Ovis aries: one gene and its partner. The protein of the gene in region 1 interacts with the protein of each later gene in a pairwise test. Links are inferred from orthologs where the notes say so. Each region holds a gene or a part of one and is shown in the gene's direction. Other genes may lie near its edges. The genes, in order: TMEM218 and PCNA.

What was found.
Region 2: the proteins of TMEM218 (region 1) and PCNA interact in binary tests that used the Homo sapiens proteins (3 or more experiments, as listed by UniProt). The link is inferred for Ovis aries from reciprocal best matches to the Homo sapiens genes TMEM218 and PCNA.

What each region holds. Positions count from the first base shown.
Region 1 is NC_056074.1:25,984,471-25,987,663, reverse strand, and holds the end of TMEM218 (transmembrane protein 218), read left to right. Parts: intron 1-1,269; coding exon 1,270-1,404; 3' UTR 1,405-2,546; downstream 2,547-3,193. UniProt on the Homo sapiens protein: May be involved in ciliary biogenesis or function.
Region 2 is NC_056066.1:47,048,474-47,052,396, reverse strand, and holds the start of PCNA (proliferating cell nuclear antigen), read left to right. Parts: upstream 1-1,495; 5' UTR 1,496-1,615; coding exon 1,616-1,836; intron 1,837-2,923; coding exon 2,924-3,021; intron 3,022-3,155; coding exon 3,156-3,223; intron 3,224-3,923. UniProt on the Homo sapiens protein: Auxiliary protein of DNA polymerase delta and epsilon, is involved in the control of eukaryotic DNA replication by increasing the polymerase's processibility during elongation of the leading strand.

The sequences.
Region 1 (3,193 bases):
GCTTCCCCCCAAAACATAAATACAATGGAATATTATTACCCCTAAAAAGGAACAAAGGTGAGGCATCTGTAGAGACAAGGATGGACCCAGAGTCTGTCATACAGCATGAACTGAGTCAGAAAGAGAAAAACAAATATCGTATATTAACGCATATATGTGAAATCTAGAAAAATGATACAGATGAACCTATTTGCAGGGCAGGAATAGAGACACAGAGGTATGGACAGAGAATGGACAGTCTCCCTATTTAAGGTCAATGGATTAACAACTGTAATTCCATCTACAACCTTAATTCTCCTTTGTCATGCAATTTAACACATTCAGAGTTTCTGGAGATCAGGATGTGGACATTGTAGAGACATTATCCTATCAACCACAACCCTGCAGGTATTTGGAAATGTCTTCAGGTACTAGGTTCTGAAAGCTTCGGGAAGTTGCGATGTCCCTGGTCACTTGGTTTGTGTTCCTCCTCTATTAAGTCTGTAGATTAAACTGCTTTTTCCTGCCCAAACTTAGGCAGCACCCTTTGGATCTGTGGAAAACAGAGTTCCAGCAGTGAACGGTAGACAAGTGGGAAGAGCCAATATGAATGACAGGCCTCTGTCTGCAAAGACCAGCAGCTCTGGGGCCTCAAGTACAGCTGGTTGCCAGGCAGCCAACTGTACAAACTGGGACAAGTTTCCTTTCCTCTTAGTGTTTCAGGACCGCAGGTAAATGGCCATTTCTGCAGCCCTTGGATTGCTGGGTTATAAATGTTAGGGTTCAGAACTCCTCTGGTAAAAGTTTGAGAGTCCCGTTTTCATTTTGAAAATGACCCCTCCTGAGTTGAGCATGGGTTGATTGCGTGGGGGTTTGAATCTTGAGTATGTAGGGGATTATTATACTATTGTATTTTTATACATGTTTAAAGTTCTCCATAATGAAAAATTGACAGCCACAAAATAAGCCTTTCTGAGACCAAGCAAGCAAGGGTCTCATTCTTTCAGATAACTCATTTCAGAACAGAAAAGAACTTGCCTTCAGACTGTTTATGCATCTACATTAAGCCTATGTTTGTTCCCTGTACTTTATTAAGCCTTTTCATTAAGCTCCTCTTTATCTTGTATTTCTGGCTCAGCATGTTGAGAAAAAGGTTCTTATCCATTTGCAGGATGTTACTGGAAGTTCTGAATGTGGACAGATCCTGGGCCCATTCATCAGAGATTCCAGCTGAGCCCAGTCAAGGCGCAGACGTGTCAATAATTTCACTTTTAATGTTTCTTTCTCCAGATTGTAGATGCCTTTTTCATTGGCCGCTATGTCCTGCTGGCTTTCCTCACTGCCGCCTTCCTTGGAAGCCTTTTCTTGGTTCTAATCCATCACATCCTGGAGCCAATCTATGCCAAACCACTGCGGTCCTACTGAGTCGTCTTCAGGAAAACCAAGACCTTGTTCTCCCCCGCGCTTTGATGTCACTGGTGAGCAGCAAGGTACTGTTCAGAGCTTTGTGTTGACAGCCTTCCTGCCTTAAGATCAGAGGATCATCTCTTCATCACGAAGACAAATCCGTTGAGTCCTGGCTTCCAGAAACAGGATTGCAGAATTGCCCCCGAGGAAAGATTTCTCACCAGCTTAAGGGGGATATCACTGTCTTCTCAGCACCTGTACCTCAGGTTTTCCACCTCTTTTGAAAAGGAAATAGCAACAGCGATCTGCTTAGGTTTTTCAATCAAGACATCAGCAAGTGAATTTTGAGAAAAAGGGTACTTTAGCTTCACCTGTCCAACGGATGGAAGAACTTGGTCCTTTTTGATAATATGTGAAATACTTAATTTCAAGGTTAAGATCATTTGGGAAAGAAAGGCCCTCCAAGTTCAAAAGATTATTTTAATGTGGTGACTTGGAGACATATATCAGATGCCAGCTATGCAGCACTCTGCATGTCACACCACAGGGCTCCACAAAGGCCTTGGTGTCGCTTTCCGCTGCCTTGAGAAAGCAGTCAACAGCAGTCGGAGGACTGACTTTCACCTCGAACTCCTGGGCACAGCTTCCTGAAGCTAGCATTGCAATAGTTCAGGTTCATGGGGGGACTAGAGGCAGCGTTTGGAAACATCAGCTGTGTGTCCTGCGGCTCTCTCTAGGTTCTTCTCCCAGTATTTGGTGGTCTTTGTTCCTTTATTTAGTGTAAGTGTCCATGTTGAGTTACTGTCATCTCTTTCATCTTTGTAGCTCTTTCTCCAAAGCTGATAAGGAATGTCTATCCCCAGGCTTAGATAAAACTTTATACGTAAGTTCCCAGACCAAGTGAAATCTGTCATTAAATGGTGGGTGGGGGCGAGTAGCTCTAGGCTGTTTCTACTTTGGGAGTCTCAACCTGGCATCCAGAAACTATTTGAAGGACCTTCTGGCTGAAAATTAAGAACCAGAAAACAAGTTGGAAAAAGAACTTTGATAGAGTACATGCTGTGTGCCAGTAGTGCACAAGTCTTTTTTTCCCCCCCTCCACAAATGTAAATGACAAGCCTGTGTGTTAAGGGCAAAAATAAACTTTTGTACAAAGGGTATTTTAACTCGGCCTGCCTTCTGTAGATCCCATAACTACTGGCAGTGGTGAAGTGAATGATGGATCACTTTATATCTTTATGCTCAAAACAATCATGTCCAACCCTTAAGGAAAAAAAAAAAACAAAACACCCCACAGGAATGGGATAAGAAATAGAAGGCTGAGAGAGCACAAAATCACAAAATGAATTTCGCTAATTTCTATGGGGGGACCCCTGATAATCAGTGGTTAATATGGTACCCCTTGTGCTCAGGCCTTCCTGGAGACAGAGCTTAGAGGGTGTCCCTTAAATGCAAACAGAAATCATCTCAGGGTTGCCGTTCGTCGTTCTTTGATCAATGGCCTCAGCATAGGTTGTGCTACCCAGAGGGAATCCTGTGGCAAAGAAACTGGTGATCCCACTGTTTGGGAGGTGGGAGGAGAGCAAGTCAGGGCTTCTATGTAAGAAAACAGGTTATTTCAGTTCAGTTCAATTCAGTCACTCCGTTGTATCTGACTCTTTGTGACCCCATGGACTGCAGCATAGCCTCTTAAAATTGTATCCTGACCAAGACTACATCAGGACATTACCCTCCACTGATCCACTAGGTGGCGCTGTCTCAAGTTGGCAGAACACACTAGGTAATTTTTTGACAAGTTCTTTCTGTG
Region 2 (3,923 bases), on another chromosome or scaffold:
CATATTTATTATAGGATAGGTGCATATTTTATTTTCTTGTGCTAATAAAATAATGGAGTATCTTACAATTGAAGGTATTTTAAAGTAAATTAAAGACACATCTAATAGAAATACTAGAGGGAGAGCATTGAGTAGGGAAAGGGAATTTTTGAAACCATAATGGTTGACAATATTCTAGATTTGATGAAATGCATCAATCTTTCGGCCGAGGAATACAAAAATTCCATGAACAGGATAAATAAAACCACATCCACACTATACATGATAGAAAGACTAAAGAATTCTACAGACCAAGGTAAAACACTAGAAGTAACTAAAAAGAAATGCTGTAAACAAAGGAAAAAAGAAACAAAGGGAGAATATTCATAATAGGGAGATGGTTAATATATGAAATGCTTTTAATCAATCAGAAAAAAGTTTAATAGAAAAAATATAAACATGCAATGGTCAAGAACTGTATGAAAGATATCCAATTTGCACCAGTCTTTTAATATGCAAATTGAAATTTCCACACAAACGAGCACAGATTTAAAAATTAGATTGCCAGTAACAGAAAAATTAGAGGCAAGGAGCATGCTCATAGTCTTGGCTGGAATGTAAATTACAATCTTTTAGAAGTCAACTTAGTTAACATTTATCAAAAATTTAATGCGTATGCTCCTCTATCCAACAATACTACTTCAAGGAGTTGCCCGAATTACAAGAGATTGGCAGTTAGGTTAGGTTACATTTGTAGGATATGATGCCATCTTTTTAAGAGGTGCTGATAAACAAAACATGAACCTGGCATAAAATTAAACATACTTTAGTAAGCACTTTGCTGAATTCTTTATGGCATGAACTCATTTTTGTTTTTTAAAAGATATATACTTGTAGAGGAAAAAAAACTTAGAAAGTTACATAGAATAAATGATATCAATTTGTGTGTAGGTGGCGGAGGAGCTTTAAGAGCTGGTAGTAGGGAGATAACTTTTCTTGTTTTTTTTAAATCATAACTGTACCTCCCTTCAAACAGCTAAAGAAAAGGTGGCTTTTCTTCCTAAAGAGTCAGACAAACCGATGCGACTGAGCACAGAGCCTGGATTTACGTTTCACTCAGGGCTGTAAATTTTCTACCCCTCACGCGGGAGGCTGATGAGGCAGCACAGCGTCGCAGCTCATCGACCATTCCCGCCCAGCCTAGGACTGATTTTCACACTCACAAGGACTCCTCTTACGGGTGCCGGAACATGACAAAACGGCCAAGACTCCAGCGCACGCCTATCTGCTGGGCCCCTGAAGCGCTGCGCTCCTGCCCCGCCCCCATACCTGCATCCTCCAATGGATGCTCGGGGTGGGGCGGCTTTCGTGCAGTGCAGGGACAGGATTGGCTTTACAGTCTCTCCGCCCAGGCAGCGGGAGGGCAGCGTGATGACGTATCAACAAGGGGCACGGAGACGTAGCGCGCGCTAGCAGACGCGGCAGTATTAAACGGCTGCAGGCGCGGCTAGCTGTTAGAGGCGTCTCAGGCGTTCGTAATCGTGTTTTGCCTCTCGCTCTCATCCTCTGAAGCCTAAGCCGGTTACACATTCCTCACTCCTTGTACCTGTAGCCGTGTCATTGCGACTCCGCCACCATGTTCGAGGCGCGCCTGGTCCAGGGCTCCATCTTGAAGAAAGTGCTGGAGGCGCTTAAGGATCTCATCAATGAGGCCTGCTGGGACATCAGCTCAAGTGGCGTGAACCTACAGAGCATGGACTCGTCTCATGTCTCCTTGGTGCAGCTAACCCTTCGCTCCGAGGGCTTCGACACTTACCGCTGCGACCGTAACTTGGCCATGGGCGTGAACCTCACCAGGTGAGCTCCAAAGCCTCGGACATCCGGGCCATGGTCCGCTCCTACCTCTGGCTCTTGGCGCGAGCTCCTACGAGCCGGGCCCTCATTGGCTGGCGTGGGCCATCTGCGTCTTCTCATTGGCCTGCTGCGGAGTTGGGCGGGTGGCGGGACCCAGCAGAGCGCGCGGTTTGCAAAGCCCGCGCTGGCTGCAGCGCGAACAGCGAACCGGCTGTTTTCCGCGCCAAAGTCACAAAGCGTGTGGTGGCGGGAAAATGATGGACTTTGCGGTTTCAGGAAAAGACTGTTGCAGAACGCTTTGGTCGTTAAGTGCAAGCAACTTGGATGAGAAACCTTGGTCCTGGTTGACTTAAAGTGCTTTATAGTGTATCCTAGTTCTGTCACACTATCTAGGGACCAGAGTATTTCTTTTATTACTGCAAAGTTGCGGTGAGCACCCTAAGATCCTGGACTTGAAAATTTTCTCCAGGGCAATGGCGTTCAATTTTTGAACTACACATGTTTAAATCTTAAAGCTTATGATAAATACCCATAGTACATGCCGTGTACTTTAATAGGTTTATTAGATCATTTTTAAAGATAGTTGGCCCGATAATTTACTTCACCCACTCGAAATTCATAAAATGTTGTTCTTTTATTTATATCCAGAAGTGAAATTGCTTTTGGTATGTTGTGGGCCTTTTGGGTTTATACTGCCAGATTGCATTCCAAAGTGTCTGGACCGGCTTGCATATCCCCCGTGCAGTACGTTTTCCTAACTCACCAATCTGACAGATGGCATACTGGTTAAGGGTTTCCCTGGTGGCTCACTGGTAAAGCATCACTTTGCCAATGCAGAAGATGAGGGTTCGATCCCTGGGTGGAAAAGATCCCCTGGGGAAAGAAATGGCAACCCACTCCAGTATTCTTGCCTGGGAAATCTCATGGACAGAGAGAGGACCCTGATAGGCTGCAGTCCAGGAGACACCACTTACGCTCTAAACAACTGCAACTAATGGTTAAAAGTGGTAACTCCTGATTTTAATTCCATTAGAAAACTAACGATCTTGAGAAGATGGTGTTTAAAAACCCTTTGTCTTCTCTGTTCTAGCATGTCCAAAATACTAAAATGTGCTGGCAATGAAGACATCATTACCTTAAGGGCTGAAGATAATGCGGACACCTTGGCACTAGTATTTGAAGCTCCAAGTAAGTCCACCCTTCTACTGAGTTATGGCAGAGGAAACTAAAATGCAGTGTATTTCCCAAGTCTGATGATTGTAAAATATACCTCTTAGTTGTAAATTTACGTGTTTTTCTTCAAATTTGCTTTCTTTTGGTAGATCAGGAAAAGGTTTCAGACTATGAAATGAAGTTAATGGATTTAGATGTTGAACAGCTTGGAATTCCAGTGAGTATCAAAAGTTTCTGATTGAGCATGCTGTACACAGTTATGATAGTTACATAACATATATTTATATAATAATTTAAAGCCTACTTCCTAATAGAACTTTTCTGTATATCTGCTCATGTATATTCCAGAGTAGGGTATTTAGACTGATATATTTGTCATTTTATTAAATTATGGTGTTCTACAGTGCTATGGTTTGAATTCATTGCTGCCAAGGACATATTTGCATTAACCTCTGCATCTTTTAAAAAAATTATTATTCCTAGAGTGCTTGATTTTTATTGAGATTTTAAAGCTATTTTAGCAGAAATTCATTATGGTTAGGTTTTATCAACATCAAAAGAAGATGTGTTCAGATGTTTACAATGCCTAACACGCTCTTGTTTTGGAAAGCAAACCTATTTGTGCTGTTACCATTTGTATGCCATATACTAATGTCTTCTTGATTTAGACCTCCTATAGAGTGATTAGCTGGAGGCTCTTGTTCCCTGGATAGTGCATTTACTTTTAAAAGTTTAAGTTCTAATTGGTTTCTTAGTATGATGATGATTATTCTTTTTTATATCTGCATTTTTTTTAGTAGAATGTTAAGAAATTGCACAATGAGTGATATTTCAGAGTAATCAGAAAATCTTGAATTGTGAGTTCTTGTTTAGATGTTGAATCTTCAGGAAGTGAGGGTGCCAAATCTTTCATTTCC